Arabidopsis thaliana: one gene and its partners. The protein of the gene in region 2 interacts with the protein of the main gene of each other region in a biochemical or structural test. Each region holds a gene or a part of one and is shown on either strand. Other genes may lie near its edges.

What was found.
Region 1: the proteins of AT3G11630 (region 2) and NTRC form a complex in vitro, tested with the Arabidopsis thaliana proteins (2 studies listed by BioGRID).
Region 3: the proteins of AT3G11630 (region 2) and TRXF1 form a complex in vitro, tested with the Arabidopsis thaliana proteins (one study listed by BioGRID).
Region 4: the proteins of AT3G11630 (region 2) and CP12-1 form a complex in vitro, tested with the Arabidopsis thaliana proteins (one study listed by BioGRID).

What each region holds. Positions count from the first base shown.
Region 1 is NC_003071.7:17,373,786-17,382,353, forward strand, and holds NTRC (NADPH-dependent thioredoxin reductase C), read right to left. Parts: upstream 5,275-8,568; 5' UTR 5,244-5,274; coding exon 5,006-5,243; intron 4,914-5,005; coding exon 4,706-4,913; intron 4,617-4,705; coding exon 4,511-4,616; intron 4,411-4,510; coding exon 4,145-4,410; intron 3,781-4,144; coding exon 3,501-3,780; intron 3,396-3,500; coding exon 3,288-3,395; intron 3,212-3,287; coding exon 3,125-3,211; intron 3,036-3,124; coding exon 2,931-3,035; intron 2,835-2,930; coding exon 2,704-2,834; intron 2,625-2,703; coding exon 2,564-2,624; 3' UTR 2,393-2,563; downstream 1-2,392. Other genes in the region: AT2G41670 (P-loop containing nucleoside triphosphate hydrolases superfamily protein), read left to right, coding at 333-503, 611-715, 808-885, 1,020-1,161, 1,338-1,408, 1,515-1,611, 1,814-2,031, 2,114-2,392; HSFB3 (heat shock transcription factor B3), read left to right, coding at 7,938-8,234, 8,355-8,568. UniProt on the Arabidopsis thaliana protein: Thioredoxin reductase (TR) that exhibits both TR and thioredoxin (Trx) activities. Contains a C-terminal functional Trx domain.
Region 2 is NC_003074.8:3,669,137-3,676,883, forward strand, and holds AT3G11630 (Thioredoxin superfamily protein), read left to right. Parts: upstream 1-2,899; 5' UTR 2,900-3,052; coding exon 3,053-3,259; intron 3,260-3,642; coding exon 3,643-3,717; intron 3,718-3,878; coding exon 3,879-3,960; intron 3,961-4,055; coding exon 4,056-4,135; intron 4,136-4,259; coding exon 4,260-4,385; intron 4,386-4,479; coding exon 4,480-4,593; intron 4,594-4,684; coding exon 4,685-4,801; 3' UTR 4,802-5,023; downstream 5,024-7,747. Other genes in the region: AT3G11620 (alpha/beta-Hydrolases superfamily protein), read right to left, coding at 415-558, 649-753, 924-974, 1,134-1,281, 1,373-1,455, 1,553-1,612, 1,742-1,792, 1,899-1,949 and 4 more; AT3G11640 (uncharacterized protein), read left to right, coding at 5,365-5,925; NHL2 (NDR1/HIN1-like 2), read right to left, coding at 7,128-7,747. UniProt on the Arabidopsis thaliana protein: Thiol-specific peroxidase that catalyzes the reduction of hydrogen peroxide and organic hydroperoxides to water and alcohols, respectively. Plays a role in cell protection against oxidative stress by detoxifying peroxides.
Region 3 is NC_003074.8:585,831-592,730, forward strand, and holds TRXF1 (thioredoxin F-type 1), read right to left. Parts: upstream 3,864-6,900; 5' UTR 3,762-3,863; coding exon 3,469-3,761; intron 3,159-3,468; coding exon 3,059-3,158; intron 2,884-3,058; coding exon 2,740-2,883; 3' UTR 2,436-2,739; downstream 1-2,435. Other genes in the region: DJ1D (Class I glutamine amidotransferase-like superfamily protein), read left to right, coding at 506-562, 672-788, 973-1,413, 1,593-1,955, 2,070-2,258; AT3G02740 (Eukaryotic aspartyl protease family protein), read left to right, coding at 4,731-4,978, 5,211-5,337, 5,428-5,669, 5,768-5,992, 6,084-6,246, 6,339-6,412, 6,622-6,709, 6,779-6,854.
Region 4 is NC_003071.7:19,443,387-19,449,689, reverse strand, and holds CP12-1 (CP12 domain-containing protein 1), read right to left. Parts: upstream 2,961-6,303; 5' UTR 2,802-2,960; coding exon 2,427-2,801; 3' UTR 2,048-2,426; downstream 1-2,047. Other genes in the region: AT2G47410 (WD40 domain-containing protein), read right to left, coding at 1-18, 229-557; AT2G47390 (Prolyl oligopeptidase family protein), read left to right, coding at 3,437-3,743, 3,846-4,827, 4,922-5,050, 5,167-5,466, 5,570-6,028, 6,138-6,203. UniProt on the Arabidopsis thaliana protein: Acts as a linker essential in the assembly of a core complex of PRK/GAPDH. Coordinates the reversible inactivation of chloroplast enzymes GAPDH and PRK during darkness in photosynthetic tissues.

The DNA of each region.
Region 1 (8,568 bases), on a different chromosome or scaffold from region 2:
AGTTGAAAGTTGAACTAATAAATAAAACAACTATGAGATAAGCTAGGAATGTGCAAACCATTGAGCCAACCAGCTACTACAACCTTTACGATAACAACGAGCAAGCAGAGTGTCCCAGAGACCCATCTATCTCCTACAAAAATTGGTCGTCCAAACTGTTTTTTTTTTTTGTTACACAAACGTATCTCTATGTAAAAAATTGTAATAAGCCCAAAATTTAATCATATGAAGCCCATCTTAAGCCCAAATCCTATAACCAAATTTGGATTTATTTTGCGTGACGAGCTGTAAAACCTTAGAAAACCCTTCTTTCGCTGTTGTTGCCGGAGAAAATGGTGATGATGTTGAAGAAGACAGTGAAGAAAGGTTTAATCGGCGGAATGAGCTTCGCTAAAGACGCCGGAAAAATCAATTGGTTTCCCGGTCATATGGCTGCAGCTACTCGCGCCATTCGTAACCGCCTCAAGCTCTCCGATCTCGTTATCGAAGTTCGCGATGCTCGTGTCTGTAAACACTCACTCACACTATCTCTCTTTATATTCGATCCCTTTATCATCGTGGAAGGAATAATCTGAATTGTCGTTGTCTTTGTTTTTGGGTATTTTTGCAGATTCCTCTGTCATCGGCGAACGAAGATCTACAATCCCAAATGTCAGCTAAGAGACGTATCATTGCTCTGAATAAGAAAGATTTAGCAAACCCTAATGTTCTCAATGTAATTCGTTTTTTTGTGTGAACCTTTGTCTTTCTTTAACCTCTTGTTAGTCTCTGTGAGGTTGAGTTTCTGAATTTTTATGCAATTTATAGAAATGGACTCGTCATTTCGAATCCAGCAAGCAAGATTGTATTGCCATTAATGCTCATAGCAGAAGCTCTGTCATGAAGGTTAGATGATCCTCTTTACATTTAGGTTGGTGTGTTAAAACCAGTTATAGTTTCTTCACACATATAATTTGATGAGGATTTTCTACTACTGCGCATTGAAAAGTTACCTTCTTTGCATAATTTTTCGTATGTAGCTGCTTGATCTCGTGGAGTTGAAGCTCAAAGAAGTGATTGCTAGGGAGCCTACTTTACTTGTAATGGTGGTTGGTGTCCCCAATGTTGGAAAATCTGCGCTCATTAACTCGATCCATCAAATTGCAGCAGCTCGTTTTCCGGGTAAGATATTGGTGTCTCAGCTTATCAGCAGTGTTGAGTACACATTTCACAGATATAGTCCGGACTGTGAATCCGATTTCTCCAAACTTAAACTTACAAGTTAATTATTTCATGAACAGAATGATGAATGAAATGTAACGTGGCTTATTTCGTTATTGTATGCATTATGTGCATAGTGCAGGAGAGATTAAAGAGAGCTACGGTTGGTCCATTGCCTGGTGTAACACAAGATATTGCTGGTTTCAAGGTAATCTTTATTTGAAAATCCTCTTTTTTCCGTATGCCTGTTAATTGTTTGTGGATTTGCTTCAGCATGATTTTTGAACACATGATGAAAATGTTCTGTGGTACAGATTGCTCATCGACCTAGTATATATGTTCTAGACTCCCCTGGTGTGTTGGTTCCAAGTATCCCTGATATCGAAACCGGTTTGAAGCTTGCTCTTTCAGGTTCTTATCTATATCTTTATCTCCTTTCTCTTCTTTCTTCTTGGTGCTAGATCGTGTAAACCCGTACACTAGATTTAGTTCATCAAATGATGATACAGTTTAGGTCTTATAATCTCAGTTCTTAGTTTTTCTCTAATATAGGGCCGTATTTCTTACAGCATATGATCTCTCTAGCTAATTGTTATGCGTTTGACATTCTAAGGGTCCGTTAAAGATTCAGTAGTGGGTGAAGAGCGGATTGCACAATACTTTCTAGCTATTCTAAACATTCGAGGGACTCCTCTTCATTGGAAGTACTTAGTTGAGGGAATAAACGAAGGGCCTCATGCAGACTGCATCGATAAGCCAAGCTATAACTTAAAGGATCTTCGACACCAGAGAACCAAACAACCAGATTCATCTGCTCTGCACTATGTCGGGGTTAGCATAATAACCTTATATCTCTACCTTGCTTTCCTTCTGAAATTGTCCTGACCAATGAAAGGTTCCCTGTCATCTACAGGATATGATTTCAGAAGTGCAACGATCACTGTATATAACACTCTCAGAATTTGATGGGGACACGGAGGATGAGAATGATTTAGAATGTTTGATAGAGCAACAGTTTGAAGTTCTACAAAAGGCATTGAAGATTCCTCACAAAGCATCCGAAGCAAGGTTAATGGTCTCCAAGAAATTTCTTACTTTGTTTAGGACAGGTAGACTTGGTCCCTTTATCCTTGACGATGTCCCTGAAACTGAAACTGACCACCCCAATTCAAAACGGGTAGTTGTTTTGTAAAATCTTAAAGCAAATTGTACCACATTATGCGTGCAGCTTAAGATGATGATTCTATTTGTTTACATTTGAGATTCAATGGCGTTGCTCCAGTAACTCCAAAGTATTTGAATGAACAAAATTGAATCATGATAAGATTTGGCATCTGCCAGAAACAATATCTATCTGGTGTCCTCATTTATTGGCCTCAATGAATTCTCGGTACTCTTTCTTCATCTTCACACCCGATATAGTCCTACACAGACTCGGAATCTTTAGCCAAACCTGAACACAATAATCTATGCAATTTTAAAACTGAGAGAACGTTTCCTAACCTGAGCATTTCCTTGTTCTTGAAGAACTGCACACATGGGGTTCCCATAATTCCAGCTGCTTCAGCAATTTCTTGATCTTCCTCGATGTCAATCTCAACAAAATGCACATCATGGTTATACTCATCGACCACCTGAAACAAAATGAAGGAGAAGTGAACAAATGGTCAAGTAAATCAGTCCAAAAAGATCTCTTCCGATGAGTTTCATTTCGACTAATAAAGGAATACCTTGTTCAAAATAGGCTTCAGAGTCCTACAGGGGCCACATGTTGGTGAAGTGTATAGTACCAATATAACTCTTGGACTCTCATGGTATAGTTTTCTAAGAGCATACTGAAAGCAGGGGAAAAAACATAAGGAGAAAGATGTGAGGCAGAGAAAATGCTTGTAGGTAACAAGTTAAGGTTCATATGTTAACAAACCTGTCCCTTGTGCTTTGTAAGAGTGATGTCAAACTTTTCTTGGACATCCCGTTGTGTGAATTCTTTCTTGGCCTCTTCAGTTTGAGGCTGTAACGTGAACATGAAAGAGAGTAAGCCTTGTGACGTGTGCTTAAGAGATAAGATATTTCTGAATATTTCCTACCTGGTGAAATTCAACAAGAAGATTGTTACTTGTGAGGTATCTCTCGGCTGACAAAGCAGCTATGCATCCTGATCCAGCAGCAGTTACAGCTTGTCTCCATTCGTGGTCCTAGAGTGACAAATAGGAGAATATAGCAAACACAATTATCGAACCAATATGACTTAAAAGAGTTAATACCAACACCGAAAAATTGCTAAAAGTTCCGAAGAATACCTGCACATCTCCTGCAGCAAATACACCTTCAACTGATGTATTTGATGTTCCTTCCCGAACCAAGACGTACCCGGAGCTGTCGAGTTCGACTTGGCCTTCCAATAACTGACTGTTTGGCGAATGCCCTATTCCATAAAACAATCCTTTTGCCTCCAGCTCAGTTTCTTCACCCGTATCAAGTCTTCTGAGTAGAATGCCAGACATCTGTCCCTTGGTGTTGCTCAATACGTCCACGGTTTCCGTGTTGTAATGCACTGTGATGTTTGGATTGTTGATCACTCTGAAACATTCGCCATAACCAACCTGTTAAAAAAACACTCAGGGTGTTGAAAAGACTCAACTTACGTTGTGCTCATTAGTCTATAATTCCGATAGCCAGCAAAAAAAAAAAGCACTCTACTGGTTGGTTATAAATTTACATGCAACGGAAATCATAACCAAAGGCTTTCCCAGATATATCCAATGGATTTGCGAGGGAACAGGGGATAGCAGTCAATACATGCAACAAAGAACGCTCAACATAGCTATGACAAAACACATTTCCTAGTTTGGACATAGCATTTATCTAGTTTTAACTGTTTATCTTCAGAAATCAAAGAAGAGGAGTAGAATATAAGGCAGACGTGATGAATATAAGAACTCACCTATCTTGCATAGCCTTGGAAGCTCTCAACTGATCTCTGCGAACAAGCAAATGAACATGACGGGCATATTTCGTGAGATACAAGGCTTCCTCTGTAGCCGTATCTCCTCCTCCAACCACGGCAAGTACTTGCCCCTTAAATAAAGGCGAAGCTCCATCACAGATAGCACAAGCACTTATCCCCCTACTCCAGAATTCTTCCTCTCGAGGTAACCTTAACCTCCTTGCTGTAGCGCCAGTGGCATATATAATACTATGGCACTTGACCTATAAAAAATGGAAACATCAGAAGAGAGCTGAAGCCAAAAAAAAAAAACTATTTAGAATTTGAAAAAGAAATAGTGAGAAAACAAAGAAAGATAATCACCTTACGTTCACTAGTTTGCACAGTAAAAGGAGCAGTTGTGACACTAAGAGATTCAACATCTTCTGGATACAACTCTGCTCCCCACCTCTCTGCTTGCTTTCTCATTCTACAATTTTCACACAATAAATAATTGCATCAGAAACATATAAGAAACGCCACAAACTAACAAAAGAATCAGACTATGTTATAGCTCACTTCTCCATTAAATCGGGACCCGTGATACCGTCTGGGAATCCCGGAAAATTCTCAACTTCAGTAGTTGTCATCAACTGTCCACCGGGAACTCCGCCCATCTGATACCCTTCAAAAACCACCGGCTTCAAATTGGCGCGCGCTGCATATATCGCCGCCGTATAACCGGCGGGACCGGAGCCTATAATCACTACATTCTCGATAATCTCGCCTGCAATTAATTATTAAAAAACCAACACAGAGCTCGATTACTTACACTGCCAAAAACCTTAAGAAAGAAGCAAAGAGGAACTCCTCAAGTACCTCCTGAAGAAGAAGAAGACGGAGAATTGGCGGTGGCGGAGACTCTGAGGCGGAGGGAATCAGAAGAGCGAGTTCGGGTTGGTTGACGGAGGAGATAGGAGCCGCCGTGACGTGTGGTAGTAGTAGTAGTGAGAAAGAAGAGATGAGGAGGAGGAGAAAGAGCGGATGAGGCGGCGGAGACACGGTGAGGCGATGAGACGGAGGCAATACCGATGCCTATCTTGGGAGACGCAGCCATATTTTTTTTGATTGCCTTACCTTTACCAGAGACCATACAATTGTCTCTTTGGCTTTGCAGTTAAAAAAAAACATCCCGATTTTCTGTTGGCGACTGTGCCTCACGCGCCTCAGCATTATCTCTTTGCTTCCAAGTCCACAGGCTTAGATGATTTTCAGCCGTTGGATATATGTGATGAAGCGACTGAACGGTGGAGATGTGTTTTGACTGATTTTACTTCGTCTTTTCAACGGAGGGATAAGCCAATCGCTTTTTTTTTAAGTGGGAAAGATCGCCAAGAGTTTAAGTGGACGGACGACGCTTTTTATATTGGGCCATAAATGGGCCTGTTTTGGTACTGAATATTTAGTCACGACGAAGATTCTTAAACCCACCGGAAAATGGGCTAATCTGTGTGCGGATTGCTTCGCCAAAAAGTTAGTACTAATAATTTATAAAGCATAACTAGCTAAATGCGAAGACTATATAGTTTACTTAGTTCTGAAGAGGTTGAAGTGGAAATGAAATGAACTAGGAGTTGGTGAGGGAAGGTGACAGACTATTTTTTCTTAAGTCAAAAAGTTAAGCTGACCAAAAAAGAGCAGCCCAATGAAAGCAAGGATCTTTATCTTTAGTCTAGTGTCTGAATTCCATGCACTTCCAATGTTTTAGTCAACAAAATGTACTTACATTTGATGACTTGATGTTGTATAGATTCGTTAGGAAGCCACATCACTAAACGTTAAGCATAACTTTATGGTTAAAAAAAAACCCCCCCACCGTGTTCTTACTTGTCATCCAAATTCGATCTGCCATTTGAAGTTTCCTAAGCTGTTCTTGATGACTATTCTTAAATTCGATGTTTATATCTTACCATCTAAATTAAGCCTTACAAGAGCTACATATCCAAGTAGTATATGCTGGAGTAGTTTTGTGATCCCTTAATCTTATTGTTCAACAAATAATTTCAACAGGACATATATATGGATCACTACTGTTAAAACGATATAGTAGAGCTTAAGCGTTAGGATTTGTATTATTAGTTGTCTCTCTCTTTTACAGACGCGTGGAAGGTACGCGCCGTCATAGGAACATTGTCGGTAATCCCCTTCAAACACCAGTAGTCAGTAGATCGATGACTTGAATTACATCACTGTCCCCTACTTTGACCAATAGAGATCTAAAGGTTTCCTTTCTTGCATTATTGTGCTAAAACCGACATTTACTTAAGTTACTTGATTATGTCTTGGAAAAAAAAAAAGATTTTAACTTTGGGAACTTTTATTCAACTGAAATTTTAAAGAATTATTTAATTTGGAATTCCTTCTATAAATTTACTGGCTTTTACCGTTATACGTTACCATAAACTTATATATATGATCAAATTCGACCGTGATGAATGATCACTTTTTTAACTTTCCATTCAGATCAACTGAACCCCCTTACTTTTTCTATATATACTCTTTTAAGCACTTGTTTATATATTATCAACAAATTAAGGTGTCGAAAGTAACATACAATTAGACAAAGCATGTATAGTCAAAAAGATAGATAGTCATCAATTTTGAAAAACGAGCAATTTACATGATCCTACAAAACAACAAAACTAACTATATGAAATATCAAGTTTATAATCATTTTTAAAAATACCATTACAAAAGATTTGTACTTTGAATATAATTTAACATGAAATTTAGAAAACGATCTGTTTAAGAATATAACTTCTGCTATGTGGTATTTTAACTGGTACTTTATAGAGAAAAAAAGATTGGTAATTAATGTGATATTTTTGCAATCCATATTATATATTCGAGAGATTTTACTAATGATAGTACTTGATTAATCATTAGAGAAAACTAAATCTTACAAATATAGGTAGACATGATGAATAATATGCATGATTTGCGTTTCGTAAATTGATAGTACCACCTCACCTAAAGGGGGTCCAAACGAGTTGCTTCATATCACAATATCCAATTTTACCAACATACATTAATATATGTGTATTCACATATATACCTCGTGATTAATATTTTTTTTAAAATCATTTTTCGTTTGTTTCCTATACGTCTAATCAAACACACACGTTACAACTAAAATTATATTGACAATATAGCTCGGTTGGTAAAAGCAACGACTACTGCAGTTTCCCTGAAAAACTTAAGACCAGTACTAAATATCAACTATACAAATTAAGTTGATATCAGTTTTTTTGGGGGTAAAGTAATCCAATATCATTCTAAAATTAAAAGCAAAATGTCGTTAGTTATACATGTTAGAGACGAGCGTTGTGTTTGAGAAAAAAAAGAGTTATGTCGTATAGTGGATTCGACGTAAATATTATCGATGGTTGGTTTCAAACCTGAAAAATTACATGTCATATTGTCATCAAACATCGATTTTCATTTGATATAAGAAAAATATATTTACAAACACAATCGTGTGTGTGTGTATGCATCATGATTATATGCATGTTAGTGTTAGAGTTACATATTCTATAGAATATGTAAATAGTTAGAAGCGTACGTTCCTTGAAAATTGTTCAAAGTATTTCTATTATTGTTTTCTTTTGTTAAAGTATTTCTATTATTGTCTCAACCACCTAATTAAATTAAATAACGTCTCTATCTCTTTCTATGGAGTCGTGTTACGTCTTTCTAGTTTGAGATCTTCTACTACTTGTTTTCTTCAAGAATAATAATTTTCGTTTTATATATGGAAGATGCTGGTGAACATTTACGGTGTAACGATAACGTTAACGACGAGGAGCGTTTGCCATTGGAGTTTATGATCGGAAACTCAACATCCACGGCGGAGCTACAGCCGCCTCCACCGTTCTTGGTAAAGACATACAAAGTGGTGGAGGATCCGACGACGGACGGGGTTATATCTTGGAACGAATACGGAACTGGTTTCGTCGTGTGGCAGCCGGCAGAATTCGCTAGAGATCTGTTACCAACACTTTTCAAGCATTGCAACTTCTCTAGCTTCGTTCGCCAGCTCAATACTTACGTACGTATATATGCTTCACTGTTTCAATCAGTATTTTAAACTATTTGTGTTTCTTTGAGTTTACTAAGTGTATTTGCTTAATTAAAGGCATTAATGAGTGTTGTTACAAAAATATTATAGGGTTTTCGAAAAGTAACGACGATAAGATGGGAATTTAGTAATGAGATGTTTCGAAAGGGGCAAAGAGAGCTTATGAGCAATATCCGAAGAAGGAAGAGCCAACATTGGTCACACAACAAGTCTAATCACCAGGTTGTACCAACAACAACGATGGTGAATCAAGAAGGTCATCAACGGATTGGGATTGATCATCACCATGAGGATCAACAGTCTT
Region 2 (7,747 bases):
TCATTCACTAAATGTCACCTTTCTGTTGCAACCTTCATATTTAAGCAAAAATCTCATTCTTCAAAGCCTCATTTTCTGTTTATTAAGAGTCACTATCCATTATATAGTTCTTTTTCTTCCCGGGAAAAATCTAGAAATTTCGGTTTATAGTTTACGTAAATGGGACCAAGAATTAAAATCTTACTAATCGCGATTTATTGGATTTTATATACGAATTCATACAACTTTTGTGGTTGCAAGATGATTTGCGATTGACCAACTTGCACTCTCCTAAAATTTCTTTGTAACTAGATAACCAAACATTTTTTACATAAACCATCTCTCTGACAATTACTATTAAACTAATCTGTTTAAAACAAACATTTTGATGGTTGACACTTATTTTGTTGGAAGGAAGAGACAGGGGAATGTACTTTACTGGAGCTGTGAAAACCGGTTCTTGATTAGAGTGGCTACGTGCTGCGCAACCCATGCCGAGCCAGCCACCGTGCAGCAGAATCCGTGCGTGTGACCTTCCCTCTCGATAGATAAGGAAGTATGCGGAGCTTGCTTTGAAATCTGGACAATGGAGAGATTCTATGAGAGACCTTCCTTCTATCGTTAGGATAATGCATTTTGATTAAGCGAGAAGAAGGGAAACCAAGTAACCTCTTCAAAGAGTTGCAGTGGACCCCAATGATCATCAATGCCAAATAAAAATGCAAGCTTGCTCTGGTTTTCTCTCATGAAATCCCAATCTGGCTCTGCTGCAAGCTTATATGCCAAAAATGAAACAGTGGATCGTCACCTAGAATGCTTTAGTTGGAGATCAACTATAGGGCAAGCTTGGTCATGTTGTAGAGCTTTCAAGTAAACACTTTGCATACTTTGAATTCAAAATGAGACTCTAAACTCTATACAACACATTGTTGAAAGAAGAGTACCTCTCTAAACTCTGACTTTGCCATGAAGAGAACATTGCGCATGGTGTGATACTGCAAGCATCAGATGAAGTTAAGTCGTCTGAATAGTTAGTAGGGAATAAGAACTTAAAGTATCAAGAAAAGAAGATGTAATGGCCATCTTCAAGTCTTTATACAACTAGGTTCAAGTGTAAAACCCAAGAAAATCAGTGAATATGAGATAATCAATACCTGCCTCAAGTGAGTGCAGGTAGCTTGAACAGCAGTATCAGACCATGAAGCTCCAATGGATTTAGATACAAGCAGCCGTGCAGCTGACATAGGTAAAAGTCTCAGCGATGCAATCAGAAAACTTGCTGTAGCCGACAGAACAGAAGACCTGCACAACATGATAACGATTTCACAACATTCTAAATAAAGACTGATTGGTTCTTTCCTATCGAGGATTCGTATTGAGAACAAAAGCTCACGCTGCAAGTTTGCCAATTAATGATTGCTTTGTTGATTGTTGGTTCAAAGTCAAAAATGGATATAGGCCAATGCAATATACCACCTGCAAAGCATTCCAGAGAATAATATAAGAAAAATCACATAGCACTGAAAGAAATTGTGATGGAGAAAGTACTACTCTTAGAGGAAGCCATCTATACCTTGTCCGAGAATTTCTTCAATAACTCAAGGGATATATAAGACCCAATAGAATGCCCAACCTACCAAGATCAATTAAGCTTAGAGTTGTAAATTTTCATGAAAATCTGGAAATCCATCCAACTAATGGACATATATATTTTGGTCATAAGAAGCAATATGTCAATGGCTTATACACATGACAGTCTTACCAATATTATTGGAACTTTCACACTCTCCAACTCCTGTCTGATAAAATCAATCTGTATGATAACTAACAGATTAAGATCTTAACTTCACAGGATGAACAATACAAGAACCTAAAGGCTTTCAAATCCAAGAGCAATGAAGAAAAATGATTTTTATTACCTTATGATCAATTTGTTCTTGAAATGAAAATAGCCTCCCAGACTCCCAGTCCTAAAAGTGAAAATAATCAAGTATCATGAAAGCCTATCAAACTAAGATATTATATGAAGAGAACCATCAAAGTTTACACACAGTAAAACCTGAAACCAAAGTTAACGTACCTTGCTCGTGTGAGATATTTGCCCAATAGCTACACAAATAAAACAAACCACTCCACCATTAGAGATCAGAAGAACAAACTCAAACTCAGAAATAAACAGCTTCCATCTTAAGGACTCAAAGAAATCAAACTCGAAAAGTAGAGCAGCCATACCAATTACAGAAGCATTTCCACCAAGAAACTCGTATAAAGATTCCAAAAAGTCCTTGTAAAATGACACAACTCCTGAAAAATTACAAGCCAATGTATGAAGCACACTAGTATATACACGTGCATGCATAAGAGTCTTGAGCATAATAATGAAACCTGGATTTCCCGGAATAAACAATACATGGAATGTGGGATTCTCAGCTTGAATTTCCATCATCTCCGTCATCGAACTTTGATCACAAATACAAAAAACAAAACAAAAAGTGTAACTATAGTCAAAGAAATTAGAAAATTTCGTAAAAGATTAATGTAACAATACCCAGAAACTCTGCACAATCTGGATTTAACATGTCTTTTAGTTTCATTCATCAATTTGTTTTGAGTCTCCATGTCTCCGGTCACGCGATTCAACTTATATCTTCTCTCAGAACTGTCAACACTTGAAAGGAGAAGATCGAGAGAATTAATGAGACAACAGAGAAACCACTAAAAATCAAAACTTTGCAAAATAAGTGAAGAAGCCTTTTAAAGTAAACCAAGTGAAGAGAGCACAACAATGCACCTGAAACAACAGGAGTAGATTAGATACTTTGGAGAACTGAACCACCGATCGGAGGAAGAAAGTAACGGAGAGACGGAGTTACCCAAGGTAGAAGAAGAAGACGCATATTTGCAGCAATAGTAATACGACCTCGTTTTGAGTAACGCGACGTCGTTTTATGAGTTTGGGTGTCGTCAGGCTTATCTCCACCTCATACTTCCACTACAAAGAGAGGTGATTGACAGATAGATAAGAGTGTTTGGTAGCTCAGACTCAGAGAGTCACAAAGTGTGTGTAGCAGCAATGGCGTCTGTTGCTTCTTCAACTACTCTCATCTCTTCTCCCTCTTCTAGGGTTTTTCCAGCAAAGTCTTCACTTTCCTCTCCATCTGTTTCTTTCCTTCGAACCCTTTCTTCTCCTTCCGCATCTGCTTCTCTCCGCTCCGGATTTGCTCGACGCTCTTCCCTCAGCTCCACTTCTCGTCGGAGCTTTGCTGTCAAAGCCCAGGCCGTAAGTTTATCTAAATGTCGATACTTTTCTTATTCGATGTCATTGAAATCTGAATTCATTAGCCTGTTATAGATTTCACTCTCTTCCTACTTGTTAGCCCTATAGGTTTTGGGGAAATAGTTAACGATTTATAGGTTATGCGACCGTGTTTCTGCAGATTACTCGAAAAGTTCAGAAATTTGAGTGACATTTTCGTTTAGGGTTGTTAATTTCTCTGGTGAAGTGAAATTGAGTGACATATGAGCTATACTCATTGACTGATTAGTATGTTCGGATGAGGTCTATGTAGTTTTGGTATAGTACCATGGTTATCTGATTGTCAATTTGACTGATCTTTCTCCTTAGATTTGATGTGTTAACGAGTTTTAATTTGGTGATTATAGGATGATCTTCCACTGGTTGGAAACAAGGCGCCTGATTTTGAGGCAGAGGCTGTGTTTGATCAAGAGTTCATCAAGGTACTTACAGCAGTTATCAATCACAGTTGCTGCTTCTAGTTAATCTGAGATTAAGTTTAGTTTTGAAGCTGAATGAGTAGTCTTTAGTGTTTTTTATTTAGTGAGTATATGTCTTATTGTGATTGGAAACTAATTGGTAACTGATGAATGTATGGTTTCAGGTTAAGCTCTCTGATTACATTGGAAAGAAGTATGTGATTCTCTTTTTCTACCCATTGGACTTTACTTTCGTCTGCCCAACAGGTTAGCATTGCTCGAGAAGTATATCAAAATTGAATATCCAAGGTTCCCTCATCCTTGAGTCCTAATCTTTCTCATTTTTTCCTTATGTCTTTTAGAGATTACTGCCTTCAGTGACCGGCATTCAGAATTTGAGAAGTTGAACACCGAAGTATTAGGTGTTTCTGTCGATAGTGTGGTAAGTATCACTATACATTTACTATGTTCTCATTTTACTCAGTTCCTCATCCTTGGTTGACATCACCATGTTCTTATCTGTTTGCAAATTTTTGATTCATTCTTATTTCTGTGTGTCCTCGTAGTTCTCTCACCTTGCATGGGTCCAAACAGACAGGAAATCTGGAGGGCTTGGTGATCTGAACTATCCCCTTATTTCAGATGTCACTAAATCAATCTCAAAGTCGTTCGGAGTGCTCATCCATGATCAGGTAATTGTTAGCCTTTAAATCTTGGCTACCTTCCTTTAAACTTTCGAAGTGTTTGGGATAAATGAAAACAAGAACTTTGTTTGTGTAAGAACAGGGAATAGCACTGAGAGGACTTTTCATAATCGACAAGGAAGGAGTGATCCAACATTCCACCATCAACAATCTTGGTATTGGCCGAAGCGTTGATGAGACAATGAGAACCCTCCAGGTAAAGATACAAATAAATACACACAACTCCAAAAACCGCTCTTTCCTTTCACTCGATTTCCGGTATGCTTAATACGTTTTCAATGTTGCAGGCATTACAGTACATCCAGGAAAACCCGGATGAAGTCTGCCCAGCAGGATGGAAGCCGGGTGAGAAGTCAATGAAACCCGACCCAAAACTCAGCAAAGAGTACTTCTCAGCTATTTAGAAACTCTACTATGATAGCAAAAAGGTACAATCTTTGTTATATGTGAGCAGAGTTTTTTTTCTTGTACGCTAAAACAATCCTTTGTTTGATTCTCACTTTGTCCCCAAAATTATAATAAAAAACTTTTTCCGTTAATGGAAGTCTTATTGTGTTACGCCTACAAATTCATATTCAGTTGATCACTTACCTAAGCATGTACACTGTACATATTAATGGTAAAAATCAAGACCATTTTGTGATCTTCTTTGATAGCACAGAGAAGCCATTGTTCTACCATATACGCTAGTCATATTAAAGGACCTGTAAAAAAACCAAAGGACAGAAATTATAAAACTATCATTTCTCTTTCTTTAATGCATCTATATGATAATTATGATCCTTAAAAAGCTGATGCTACCTGTAAAAAAGTTGCTCATGTGTCCCCCTGCCAACAAATTCCAACATCATTAATCATCATCAACCCAACCTCCTCCGTCAACTGATGACCGGTAAACGCCGGTCAACTCTCCTGCTTTAACTACACTACGTCCCGGTCATTATTTTTTCACACTCTCTCTCAAACGATGCATGCCCTCACCAACTCCGGCGCCGTACTTCTCGCCGTGTTACTCTTCTTTCTGCTCATCCTTTTCGCCGAGCTCTCTTACATCTTTTGTTGCCGCACCGGATCTTTACCGTCTCCGGCAAGTAAAGAGGTTCTTTTCCAATTCTTGATGTGTTGCAAGAAGAATCACCACCACTCTCGTATTGAGCCATGCACCGGTATTGTTTCTGTACAGATGGAGGAGGATGTTGTTGCTGCGGCGGTGCCTGAGGAGGAATTCGCGGCGGCGGACAAGTGGCGGGTGTCGAGGCTTCTCTTCACAATTGAAGAAGAGGATTTGGAACTGGAAGATGATGATGATGATGTGATCTCTGCGGAGGTAGATAATGGCTTCGAAGTCCAAGTTGATATTCCGGTGGAGTATTCCGGCGATCCAACTCCGTTCTTGACGCCGTGCAACTCACCTCCTTACTTTACTCCTTCGCCATCTCCTGGTCGGGATATGGATGACGTCATTGATGTATATGAAGTCAGCAGCAGAAACTGTTGTTTCAATTTCCAAGGCTCTCAGATGTGTTAACATTTTTTGCATAATTCCAATGGTTTAACAGATTAGGTGGAACATTTTCGTAATTATTTACAGGTTTTGTCGGAATTATTTGTTCTTGTTTTTGGTTTATATAACTTTGTCGTCATTTTTTCCCCGGCAATTTGAATATTCATCAACACAACTTGGTTCAACGCGTATATATGTTTGGTTCTACGTACATTAGAATAGGACGTAATGTGTTAAAGTCGTGGAGATGACGACGCTATGAAGTATGGAATGGTTCATTGAAACTTTTGTTTGGTTATGTTTTATTTTGTTGTTACCTAAACTAAATGAACCAAATTATTTTGGTTCCCTTGACTTTGATTTCCGTTTAGTTTCAAGTGTGATTAAATTACTAAATGTTTAGGTATTTTTGGGTCTTGTAATTTTATGAGATACATAGTTGGTCTTAGAGACCAAAAAAAAAAATGCACCTTTCAAGAAAAATTTCCAAGAAGACAGCATCATACTACAATACTGAATTGACTGCACATATAAAAATTGACTCGACAGAGAATTAAAGGACATGAGTCAGGCCTCATGGCAAGTAAAAAAAAAAGAAGACCTATTTTTAAAGAATTGAGAAAAAAAAAGTTTACCAAAAGTGAAAGACAGATAATGTTTTTAGCTAGAGTTGTAAGTTTTAAGTTTTGGTAATATCTCAGGATGAGCAACCAGATATAAACCACAAGAACCGAAAAAAAAAAACATATCATCTATACATTGACACTATTTAGATGAATGTCTGCAAATGAAATTGAATCAGCAAACTTGCGTTCATTTAAACTCATATTAAGAACTTGGAAAAAAATCTATTGTTTGGCAATACTAACTTTTGTTTTCTGAACTTTGGCTTTTCTTTTTTCGAAAACGTTGCTAAAAAGCCAAAGAAAAAGGCTTACAAAAGTAAAGATGTTTTATGCCGTTTGGATTAGCTTTTAGTGCGATACACACAAAAAGCAATTTGTTATCCAAATTCTATCCCGCGTTTGAAGTGTATACTTTAGTCATTGGTCTTAGTTCTAATTGACAATTGAGTAAGTGCATTTCGATTGGTTTTCATAGGAAAAATAGAGTAAGAACAAATAAATCAACATAATCCATATCAAGCGAAGAAACAAAATCTAATGTAGATAAATAGAAGAAAAAAAACATGAAAAGAAAAAAGAATTCATAAAACTTGGAGTTTACTAAGATAAGTCAAAGTCACACTGCACCGGTTGAAACTTAAACCCTCCTGTAGAATTAGAGGAACCAAGAGGAATCTTAAGATCATCACACTTAATCTTTGGTTTAAGCTTCCACGACTTTATAAACCAAAACTTAAACCTAACACTTAGCCTCAATTTCGCATTAATCCGATAAATCCCAGATTTCTCATCATCTTTTAGATCTGTTCTCGCTCCGTCGCCGAGCACCACCAGATTCTGTCCTTCAATTTTGGTTAAAATCACCGTCGTATTCTTATGCCCTTGATAAAACGACGAAACGTTCGCAGATCCGAATCTCTGATCTCCGTAATAGCCACTAACCGAGAACTCATCGTAGTAGACTCCGACTCGTTGATTAGGGTTACGGATTGTGAAATTGAGATCGAGACTGTAATGGAGGTTGTTGTTTGGATCGAAGCTGAATCGGTTCAGATTAGCGTCGGCGACGTAGAATTTGACGGCGTTTGGACGGAAGATGAGCCAGAGGATAAGAGCGGCGACTCCGAGGATTACGGCTACAGCTATGAGGATGTTGCAGATCAGGCTTAAGATGCAGCAACCGCAGCAACGTAGACAGCTTCCGAGGCAGCTGAAGCAAC
Region 3 (6,900 bases), 3.1 Mb from region 2:
ATTAACTTCCAACATGGGACCAGATATACTCTGTTTATTTCAGAGTCGAGCAAATCACTTTTTCTGGTTTTATAGTATTGTGACCTTTCAAGTTTCAATCGATTTGGGTTACAAACTTACTTTTTTGGTACTTAGATTTATTTAGCCTTGAAGCTTACTTTCATATCCGTGTTACCTCCCAGTGAGAAACTTTTTCTTTGGAGTAGCTTAGCTAAGCTGTATATTTAATTATAATAGATAGTTGTAGACAGACATGTGGACGTGCCGGAGTGGTTATCGGGCATGACTAGAAATCATGTGGGCTCTGCCCGCGCAGGTTCGAATCCTGCCGTTCACGTATTTTTAATTTAATTTTGTTCTTTTTTAAAAAAAATCTGGCATACTTGTGAAACTGAAACCACATGACACATGTGCTCCCTAAACGTCGCCGTGACCAGATAGCTCCGGTCAGAGTCATTATCTCTCTCTCGCTCGCTCTCTCCATCTTCATCTCTCTTGCTGAAAAATGGCGAACTCGAGAACTGTCTTAATCTTGTGCGGTGACTACATGGAAGACTACGAGGTCATCTTCTTCCTCTGCTACTGAACTTTTTTTTTTCTTTTTCTTAATACCATTTCTTCCTTGTTCTTATATATATATCAGCTGATTAGTGTGTGGCGTCTTCTCTCAGGTGATGGTTCCGTTCCAAGCTTTACAAGCTTTCGGAATCACCGTCCACACCGTCTGCCCCGGAAAGAAAGCTGGTGACTCTTGCCCCACCGCCGTTCACGATTTTTGTGGCCACCAGGTTTCTCTCTCCCTCTCTAGATCTCCATGTGTAGCTGCTTGATCTATTGATATACGATCCATTGTAACTATATTTAGAAATGGTTCATTCCAATTGAGCTTCGAATTGGATGATAGAATGTATTGTAGACAAGTTTCTTTAAGCTGTGCACACTTTTCTGATGTATTTCTGAGAGAATTTGCAGACATATTTTGAGTCACGAGGTCACAATTTCACGCTCAATGCAACGTTTGATGAAGTTGACCTTAGCAAGTATGATGGATTGGTTATACCAGGAGGACGTGCTCCAGAATACCTGGCCTTGACTGCATCTGTTGTTGAGCTGGTTAAAGAGTTCTCAAGATCTGGCAAGCCCATTGCCTCTATTTGCCATGGGCAGTTGATATTGGCAGCTGCAGACACAGTCAATGGTCGAAAATGTACAGCTTATGCAACTGTTGGACCTTCCCTTGTTGCTGCAGGTGCCAAGTGGGTCGAACCGATAACTCCGGATGTCTGTGTTGTTGATGGTAGTTTGATTACTGCAGCTACATATGAGGGTCATCCTGAATTTATCCAGCTTTTTGTCAAGGCTCTTGGCGGTAAAATAACTGGAGCAAATAAAAGGATCTTGTTTCTTTGTGGGGTAAGCAATCTTACCATTCTGATGAATTTATGTTTTCAGTAGTTTTGCCTATGATCTTGCTTTAGATTGTACTTCAAATATCATGACCTCACACTTTTAAATTTATTGGTAGAAGATATCAAGATCGTTGAATCTCCTGATATGAACATCACACTTTTGGTAATTTTTGACCTTTGCAGGATTATATGGAAGACTATGAAGTCAAAGTGCCTTTCCAGTCCCTTCAAGCTTTGGGATGTCAAGTTGATGCGGTTTGTCCAGAGAAGAAGGCTGGTGATCGCTGCCCAACTGCAATCCATGACTTTGAGGGTGACCAAACTTACAGTGAGAAACCAGGCCACACTTTTGCTTTAACTACTAACTTTGATGACCTAGTTTCCTCGAGTTATGATGCTCTGGTCATTCCTGGAGGCAGAGCACCAGAATATCTGGCCTTGAACGAACATGTCCTTAACATAGTTAAAGAGTTCATGAATTCTGAGAAACCAGTTGCGTCTATTTGCCACGGACAACAGATCTTAGCTGCTGCTGGTGTCCTCAAGGTCAGCACTGTTCCTTCGTAGCTCTAATTTTATTTAACTATGTCCTCCTTTTTCTTGCCACTACAAGTTGTTTGAGGAATTTATTCTATGTGACCTGTTCACTGGCTGGTGCAGGGAAGGAAATGCACTGCTTATCCAGCCGTGAAACTGAACGTGGTACTTGGAGGAGGAACTTGGCTAGAACCAGATCCAATCGACAGGTGCTTCACTGACGGGAATCTAGTAACTGGCGCAGCATGGCCTGGACACCCGGAGTTTGTTTCACAACTAATGGCTTTGTTGGGCATTCAGGTTTCATTCTAAGTTCCATGTTATGTAAACATCGTTATCAAGCAGAACCCATCCAACACACTTGTCTACTATGGTATATGTTACTGCCATCTTTTCTATCTCGTCTTTTGACTAGCTTACTGTCAAGTCAATCACTTGTGTTTCATAAAGAACCCCACTGTTGATGCTTTATGTAAAGAATGAATTCTATAAGACTTGTGCTAGTTCTCACAATTGTAATTCATAACTTTCAAACTATATCCCCAATTAAAAATACAAACTTGCTAGTGCACATTGCACCGAATCTTCCAAACTCAGTTCCGAATTGCTTAGAAATCCTTCAGACCGAATCAACTGGAAACCTAAAGATAATCATTTTCATGATCATATTTCTTGAAACTTTTACACATACAAGATAATCTTTTGCTGACGTTTCCTCATCACCTATATATAGGGATAACACCAGATTTCACATTACATACAAACAATTATGGTAAAGACATGAGAGACTGGTTCATCCGGAAGCAGCAGACCTCGCTGTTTCAATCGCTGCAACCAGATCATCGTATTTTGCACCGGTCACTTCCTTGACAACCTTGTTATCCTTCAAAATCTTGAAAGTTGGAACCACTCTTATTCCTAGCTCTTTTGCCAATGGCTGCACCAATGAAGAGTTTCAATGGCTTAGCAGCAACAACAAAGACAGGTAGTAGTAGCAACAACAAAAACAGGTATTGATTATCCTTAGCTGCTACTAGCTATGGTTCAATTGATATATGGTTTAGGAAAACCGAGTTACCAAAAGAAGAGAGATAAAAGAGCAGAACTCAGACCCGGTTATCTGGATTGCAGTCAAGCTTTAGAAACACAACGTCGTCGTACTTCTCTGATAAAGCTTTGTATTTAGGGGCAATCACTTTACATGGACCACACCTGCATAAGGTATCCAAGAATAGAACATCTTGAATTGAAACTCTCTTTAAAGACTACCAACATCAAAACCAAAACATTCACTATGGAATCTAAATGAACCACATCTGCAGAAGAATCTAACTGAGAAGATTTTTCAATCTTAGTTGAAAGCCACGGAAACTTTGATTAGTATCAAAATTCAAATCAATTGGTAATCTAAGCATTCGACATCGCAACGCCATTGATTTCATCGATTCCGCTATATACAATCAGAGATGTCGAATGGTAAAAATTTCAAAGCAGAGAGAGGCATAGAAGAGATAGTAGGTACCATTGAGTGTACATGTCAAGTACGACAAGCTTTTCACCGGCGGCTTTAACGATGGGCCAGAACGTGTCCTTATCGACCTCCGTCACCTGACCAACACTGACATTAACGGTTTCTAAGCTACACCTAACAACAGAGGAATCTCCTCTTTTCCTAGAATCCAAAGAACAGAAACCAATCTTCGTCGTCGGGACGCCGGAGTAAGGAATCCGGCACTGTTTCCTCGATGGACCAAATCCTCCGGTAGTCGGAGATAAAGCCGTCGGCGAAGGAGAAAGACGGAGAGAAAGAGGCATTGTTTGAGGAATTCAACAGAGAGACGATGACGAAGACGATGAAGCAAAATTTCGAAAAGTTGAATGATCAGAGAGAGAGTGTGTGTGAGGTCTCAACGGACTGAGCAAATATTTATTTTATGTTAATTGGATTTTAAAGAGAAAAAGACGGTATTATCCTCGAATTGCTTCGGATGAACAAGGATATTCGGGGGTACTTACTGTAATTATTTGTTTTCGTGATAGATGGAACGGGAGGTGTAGAATTCTTGAGGAATTAAGATTGATATTTATGTTTCTTACTGCGAAATTACGGTTCGGTCCCTCAAAATGATGAGACAAACATGAATTCTTTTATTTTCCATAAATTTAACTATTTTAGACTAAAATACAAAATACCAACAACATGCATGATAGTTCAGTGATTACTAGTTTTGTATCTAAGGAAAACTCTCATATTTGTGATCAAAAACAGTTTTGAATCCTACAATTTATGACAACTGATGATTTTATCATTACTCATTATCATCTAGAGTCGATTTTTGTTTGTTTGTTAAAATCTACATTAGACGGTAAAAAAATGTTAAAAATGAGCCTAATAATGTGACAATGCATATTCATGTGAAAAAATGAATTATACAAGTGAAAATAATTTACAGCTGCCAAAAGTGTATTCTAGCAGTTATTTCAGTTTTCTTTTTAAATAATTATTACAATCTTGAAATTTAATTAGTTTTTTTTTTTGTAGTCATGGAATCTTATTATATAGTACATAATTTTCTAGCCAGTCTTAAATTAATTTCAAAATGTTGTTTAGTTAATGATTAAAATACTTTTTTATTTGGAAAGTACCAATTTTTCTTCTTCTTCTTCTTTGTCCTAAATCGTACTCCACCGCCAAACTATACTTTTCTTTCTTTTGCTTTTTTTCTTCTCTTCATTTTTTTCGTTTGGATTTCTCAACTAACTTAGTTAGGGATATCTCCGGTCATGGATCTCAGGCGGAGACAGTGGTTCTTGTCGGCTATTTTGCTGTCGGCGGCGTTGCTGATTGACCCGCAATTCTCGACGGCGGCGACGGCTTCGGAGAATTTGGTATTTGAAGTTCGAAGCAAGTTCGCCGGAAAAAGAGTAAAAGATCTTGGAGCTCTCAGAGCTCACGACGTCCACCGTCACTCAAGACTCCTCTCCGCCATCGATATTCCTCTCGGCGGCGATAGCCAGCCTGAGTCTATTGGGTTCGAATCGCCATTTACCAGAACCTGTAATTTTGGGAATTTTTTAACAAAAAGTCGGATTTTTTTTGTCTTTTTTAAATGTGGAATCTGAAGAAAAAACAAAGCTTTTGAATCTATTGAGATTCTCAACTCTTTGATTGGTTCTTGACTCATTATGAAATGGTCTTCTTCTTGTGTCTTCTACGGTAAAATGTTGATTCTTGTTCTTTATGTTTGTTGTTTTTAATTTCAGTTTATACTTCGCTAAAATCGGACTCGGAACTCCATCAAGAGACTTCCATGTTCAAGTTGATACAGGAAGTGATATCTTATGGGTGAATTGTGCTGGTTGCATCAGATGTCCTAGGAAAAGTGATCTGGTATATACCATCAATTCTATCCCTCCAAAAAAAAAAACAGAACTCTAAGTTACATTATGTTTTCAGTTTCATAGTTTCATTATCTTTCAGGTAGAGCTGACACCTTATGATGTGGATGCTTCGTCCACTGCAAAATCTGTTTCGTGCAGTGACAACTTTTGCTCTTACGTTAACCAAAGATCTGAGTGTCACTCAGGTTCTACTTGTCAGTATGTTATTATGTATGGCGATGGGAGTTCAACTAATGGATACTTGGTGAAAGATGTTGTTCATTTGGATTTAGTTACTGGAAATCGTCAAACCGGTTCCACCAACGGAACTATTATCTTCGGGTTAGTTTAAGGAAAAACAGCTTTATTCTTCTATGAATTTTGTAGCTTGTTGTGGCTTGCAAATCTCTGAATCACTGTTATTTGTGGTTCTTATACAGATGTGGGTCTAAACAGTCTGGTCAGCTCGGAGAGTCACAAGCTGCGGTTGATGGGATAATGGGATTTGGACAATCAAATTCATCGTTTATATCGCAGCTAGCTTCACAAGGAAAGGTCAAAAGGTCTTTTGCGCATTGTTTGGATAACAACAATGGAGGTGGTATATTCGCCATTGGAGAAGTCGTGTCGCCGAAAGTAAAGACTACACCTATGCTCTCTAAATCGTAAGTGAATGCCTTTCTCTTAAAGCTCTTCTTCTTTGGTTCTTTGTCAAGAAGTTTTGAATTTCTTACACTGTTTGCAACTCTTTCACAGAGCTCACTATAGTGTCAACCTCAATGCAATTGAAGTTGGTAATTCAGTTTTAGAACTTTCTTCGAATGCTTTTGATTCGGGAGATGACAAAGGAGTTATTATTGATAGTGGTACAACTCTGGTGTATCTTCCTGATGCTGTTTATAACCCGTTACTGAATGAGGTCAGTACTATATTCTGTTACTTGTGAATTCTTTCTGTCTTATTTTACAAAGTTCTTAACACTTATGTTTTTTTCCCTTGAGTTTCCATCAGATATTGGCTTCACATCCAGAGCTTACTTTGCATACAGTTCAAGAGTCGTTTACTTGTTTCCATTATACAGACAAGTAAGAATTTAACTCATCGCTTTGTCATTCTTGGTGTTTAGTGAGAATGTTTGAAATGGTACTGTTATTTGCTGGAAATGTACTAGTTTTTGCTTTTGGAATTGAAATGGAGTTGGATTTAGCTGAATCTGATGGAATGACTGATTTTATACACCTAGTATATAATGTTTGATGTTTTGACCCTCTGAAATTTTCTGTCAAATTCACAGATTAGATCGGTTCCCAACTGTCACTTTTCAGTTTGACAAGTCTGTTTCATTGGCGGTTTATCCTCGGGAATATCTATTCCAAGTTCGAGTAAGTCTTGTTCCTGTTTCTAACTTCGTGTTCTTGTTTTCTTGTTCTGACATAAAAAACTGACTATAGGAAGACACATGGTGTTTTGGCTGGCAAAATGGTGGATTGCAGACTAAAGGAGGAGCTTCATTAACAATTCTTGGAGGTACATATATCTCTTTTAAAAATGACTTTCATCCTGAAATTGCTGA
Region 4 (6,303 bases), on a different chromosome or scaffold from region 2:
TTTTCGATATGAGGATACCTGTAAGTAAACGAAACATGATGACAGAACTTATGAAAAGAAAAAAAACTTGGGCACAATTACGGAGGTGGGAACACTCACATAAAGTAATGACATAACAAGACACATGTTGAGAGACAAGTAACAGCACATTTCAATAAGCTATGGCAAGGCTTCCATAGTAACTCAACAATGGAAGAGTGGAGTAGGAAAAAAAAAAAGAAACAGTACCTCTCTATCAAATTATCATAACTCAAGGGGAGGGAGATGCCATCATCATCAGCACGCCCGCTATAAATGCCACTTCTTGACCACCAGGAATGATATCTACGGGGTAAAAGCCCTTTTTCCAAAATTTCGTCTCTCAAGTGGCCAAAGGTTCGTTCGCAGGGGCCAATAGAAAGAAAATGTAAAATCAGGAAATAGACTTCTCTAAGGTCCATATCTAGATCAGTTAGCGAAGAATGGCTGTCATGTGGCTGAAGAGGAACATTTCCTTGAACCAGTTTTGCCAAATTCGAAGGTTCCATAAAAGGAGTAGATTTGTGTATCCAGTCCATGATAAGGAAGAGAAGCACTCGTCAAAAAAATGCCACTGCCAAAGTGAAAGACAGTCTCATCAATTAAAGCATGCACTATACTGACTCAGTTTTAGATAAATATACACAGATGACATATATAACACCAAGACCTTTCATATGAAATAGAATCGTCCACATACTTAATAGTAAACTAGGGTTCTCTTTTAAAAATTGGAATCTGATGTAACTTTATCTGTTCTTCCTACTACACAGGAAGGATCATCCAATCATTCCCCTAATTAAGCGACTGAAAGAAATCTACAAAACATCTCAAGGAATTGGATCGTAAAAAAGCATTGAGACACAATCTTAAATGCGATTTCAAAGAGTTATTCCCAAATCAAAAAACCCTAAGATCCAATTACATAGAAAAACACACATCACACATGAAAAATGAAAATCAAGTAAAACTGGCAAATTCGGGAGCTAGAAAAGACAAGGGAATCAAGAGAAAACCTCGAAGAAGCTAGGGTTTAGTTAGGTCAACAAAAATACAGCTTGCTACTCAGCAGTTGAGATGGGTGGCTAGAGAAAGGAATCTCGAGTAGACGATTTTTCAAGGACGAAACCAGAGAGACGGAGCAGCGAATTCGAATGGTTCTTAGGTCACAGAAACGAGAGAAGAAGAGTAGCAACAACGTTACATTCTGCGAATTGTGTGCGCGTCTCCTGGTCCTGGTTAGACATCGGCCAGGTCGAGCGAACAAGGAAGAACGAAACAACAAGACCACTGACTCTTCTTTTTCTTTTTTTCTTACCGCTGTGAGATTTTTCTGGAAAATCTGGAAAATACAAATTTGAGAATAGGAAACAACAATACGTAAGAGTTTTAATAAGCAAAAAAAAAAATCTTATGTGTGAGAAGACAGATACACCCCTTACTTGTTGTTGCATTTTCTTAAACCGCGTGAGAATTATAGGGGTATAATTGACTCTTTAGCGGCTGGGCCGACAAATAGATCGGCTTAATTTTTGTTGTTTTCTTACAAATTCATATATAACCTTTTTACCTTCAGATTTTAACTGGTGATACCGTGCCGATGCATTTTTCTTGTTAAAATCTACTTTTCTGAACCGCCAAAAATATATATAAGTGAACGAATTCAAATTTGCAAAATAACACAGAAGAGCATCAAACAAGCACACTCGTATCATTTACTTTAGATTAATCAATTTAATGCTAGAAGATAAACGATTTTGAATTCATTCACTTAACTTCACAAATTTTGTTATCAAACAATAAAATTGTATACATTTCAGGTGTTTTTTTTTTTGTCAAATTATTTAGTTCACTTATTCCTTAATATATTTACTGTTTCTCATCACCTTGAGGCTGGCCACAAACTGGTTCTATTCTATATGTCAAATTTGTACATCGGCCCATGCTTGATAAAGCCCATTACACTGCATCAACATAATTACATGGGCTTGTTTGTTGTTACCCATCTTGTTGAAACCAAAGATTAATTCCCATACCAGCAAGGCAGCAATTTTAAAACCGTCTAAGAAACTCTCGATCAATTCATCTTTCTCTCGGCTCAACGTCGTTTTGACACATACATCTCCACATCCACAAAAAAATAATAAGGAACGTATGCGAGTGACCTAAGATCATCTCAGCCTCATCTAAACTTAATTGAGTTTTTTATTATCAATTTCACGAAACTGCAAATGTAATCGAACCAAACACATTATGAAACATATGTTGTGTATTGTACTATTCATATTCATTTATCACATTACAATCATCAACCAAACCAAAAACACAAACATAACAACAAGGGACAAGAAGAACAAACATTGATCCATACCTAAAGTTTCATAATTCGAACATCAAAAACATATTTTTTAATTATCATAAGTACGACACTCATCAGTCTCAGGATTATCATTGCAATACTCTTCCAAAGGATCGGAGCCACCAGCTTTCTTCTTGTCCCTAGCATGACTCGCCGCCGCACTCAGCTCCTCCACCTCGTCCCAAGCCGCTACACACTCCCCGCTCACCGGATCATCAGCGCATGTCTCCTTAGCTTCTTGTATACTCTTCTCCACCTTCTCCGATATCTCTCCTTCCGATGTAGCCTTAACCACAACCATCCGCTTCATCGAACCGAATTTCCACGGGTAATTCAACCGGACCGGACCTAATACACGAGCCACAGGTCGAACGACCACTCGTGGAGTCGCGACGTTGAGGCCAGCTGCAGCTATGGTTGTCATCGTCGGAGGATTTTGATGGAGGAGAAAAGTTTTTTGATGTGAAGAGATGAAGAAGATAAAATATACTCGTTCACGTTATTAAACTCTGTGAACACAATCCTCTTATCTTCTAAGAACCAAGCATATTTTGCCACGTGTACTTAGATTTTTTCACAAAAAGTAGTATTCTACCAATTTGAGAAACATAAGTTTTTCCCCGGAATATTTATTTTATCAGCCGTTGAACATTTTTTCTTGAAAATTATAGAAGCTTTTTTTTTAATTTTTGACTGAAATAATAAAAATTTGTTATCATTTTCTCTTCTGTAATTTTCATAGACATAAACTTCTCATGAAAAGTAGCATAATAAATTAATAATTACTATATTTTTGAGTATTTCATTTTGTTGAGAAAAAGGGGGAGGACGACTGACTTATAATGGGCCATATTCCAGGAAATAAGCGCTAGTTGGGCCATAGATAAGGCCCACATAAGCAGTGACCACTACCGATATTTTTCCTGATATTTTTTGTTTTCCTGGTTAAAAATACATACAGATACAGTCGTCGTTTTGATTAGTGAACCGTCGAATAGAAAAAGAGAGAATCATTCAGAGCACTTTAAAAAGGTTAAAAAAGTCAAGTATTAAAAAAAGATGATGCGCTTTCATAAAGCTTGTCATCGTTTCTCTCTTTCACCTCTCTGCCATTTATCTCCGCCGTCTCCGTCACCGGCTTCTTCTCTCCTTCTACTTCCCAAGCTTTCCGGATTCTCGACTCTGAGTACACGACGTTGCGTAAGAGTTCGCCGATTCTCCGAAAACCCGTTGACCACTGTCATGGCTTCACGTTCTGCTTCTAGGCTTCGTTCTCTCGCATCTGCCTGTTCTGGAGGTGCTGAAGACGGTGGTGGAACCTCTAATGGCTCCCTATCAGCCTCTGCTACTGCAACTGAAGATGATGGTAACTTGGATTTGAATATTTTTGTGTATAGAGTTACTTGTCACTGGAATTGAAATCTGAGAAATCGTTTTTGATTGTTTGTTTGTGTGTTGAACTATGTAGAATTGGCTATAGGCACTGGATATCGTCTGCCTCCACCTGAGATCAGAGATATTGTAGATGCTCCACCAGTCCCGGCTTTATCATTTTCACCACATAGGGATAAGATATTGTTTCTCAAGCGGAGAGCATTGCCTCCGCTCGCAGATTTAGCTAGACCAGAGGAGAAGCTTGCTGGTGTTCGAATTGATGGATACTGCAATACCAGAAGCAGAATGTCATTCTATACTGGTTTAGGAATCCATCAGTTATTGCCTGATGGTACATTGAGTCCTGAGAAGGAGATCACTGGCATTCCAGATGGTGGTAAGATTAACTTTGTTACATGGTCCAATGACGGTAAGCATCTGGCTTTCAGCATCCGGGTCGATGAGAACGGAAATAGTAGTAAGCCAGTGGTATGGGTAGCTGATGTTGAGACTGGAGTAGCTAGACCATTGTTTAACTCGCAAGATATTTTTCTGAATGCGATTTTTGAGAGTTTTGTTTGGATTGATAATTCCACTTTGTTGGTGAGCACAATCCCTTCATCTCGTGGAGAACCACCAAAGAAACCTTTGGTGCCATCTGGTCCCAAAACTCTGTCAAACGAGACGAAGACTGTTGTCCAAGTTAGAACATTCCAAGATTTGCTTAAGGATGAGTATGATGCTGATTTATTTGACTACTACGCTTCATCACAACTAGTATTGGCTTCTTTGGATGGTACTGTGAAGGAAGTAGGGGTTCCTGCAGTGTATACATCGTTAGACCCTTCGACAGACCATAAGTACTTGTTGGTGTCATCACTTCACAGGCCATATTCCTTCATTGTACCTTGTGGTAGATTTCCAAAGAAGGTGGAAGTCTGGACAACTGATGGTAGATTTGTAAGACAGCTATGTGACTTGCCCTTGGCTGAAGATATCCCCATTGCCTCCAATAGTGTGCGGAAAGGAATGCGTTCAATAAACTGGCGAGCAGACAAGCCTTCAACCCTCTACTGGTATATATTTGAGATTCAAAGTGAATCACATGTAGTACACGTGCCAAAATGGGATTTGGAAGTAATTAATTTACAACTCTTCTGAGATATGTAGGGCAGAAACACAAGATGGAGGTGATGCCAAAATGGAAGTTTCACCGCGTGATATAGTTTATATGCAGTCTGCTGAACCATTGGCAGGAGAAGAACCAGAAGTGTTACACAAGCTCGATCTTCGTTATGGGTAACAACTAAAAACACAGCAGATATTGTAGATTACTTATGCCATCTTATCAACAAACTGACTAACTTCATCAAAGCCTTCTATGTCCTAACATTGATCCGATTTCAATTCTGCAGAGGGATTTCTTGGTGTGATGATACATTAGCTCTGGTTTATGAATCATGGTATAAAACACGACGAACAAGGACGTGGGTTATCTCTCCTGGATCTAACGATGTCAGTCCACGCATCTTGTTTGATAGATCATCGGAAGATGTGTACTCAGACCCTGGCTCAACCATGCTGAGAAGGACCGATGCTGGAACGTATGTAATAGCAAAGATAAAGAAGGAAAATGATGAAGGCACTTATGTATTACTGAACGGAAGTGGGGCTACACCACAAGGGAATGTGCCCTTCCTTGACTTGTTTGACATGTAAGCCCAACCTGACAATGATTTCTCTTTCTTTTGCTTCTCTTTTTGTTTTTATTGCCATTAAGCGATAACAAACTGAATGTTCTGTACAAAATTTATCTAGAAATACAGGCAACAAAGAACGAATCTGGGAGAGCGACAAGGAAAAGTATTTCGAGACAGTTGTTGCCTTGATGTCTGACCAAAAAGAAGGGGATTTAAAAATGGAGGAGCTGAAAATTCTGACATCAAAGGAGTCTAAAACAGAAAACACCCAATATTCTCTCCAACTTTGGCCTGATAGGAAAGTGCAACAGATTACAAACTTTCCTCATCCGTATCCGCAATTGGCTTCGTTACAGAAAGAGATGATCAGGTATCAACGGAAAGACGGGGTTCAACTTACTGCAACACTATACCTACCACCAGGCTATGATCCATCAAAAGACGGTCCTCTTCCTTGTCTGTTTTGGTCTTATCCTGGTGAATTCAAGAGTAAAGATGCTGCTGGTCAAGTCCGTGGCTCGCCAAATGAATTTGCAGGCATTGGATCAACTTCTGCCCTTCTTTGGCTTGCTAGAAGGTTTAGCATTGATACTGTTTTTTGCTGTTTCAGTGTGCCGGGGTCTATATCACTGAGCTTGTTGATCGAGTGTTAGCTTATACCATCTGGATTTGTCTGCACTGTGCAGGTTTGCTATATTATCTGGACCTACTATACCTATAATTGGTGAAGGTGATGAAGAGGCTAATGATAGGTAAAGTGATATTTACTTTCGTAAAGCTTGTTGCTAGAACATAGAAACCAGTGATATCGTCTTGGTTAAAGATTTCCTTCCTATAAGCATAAGCAAACTA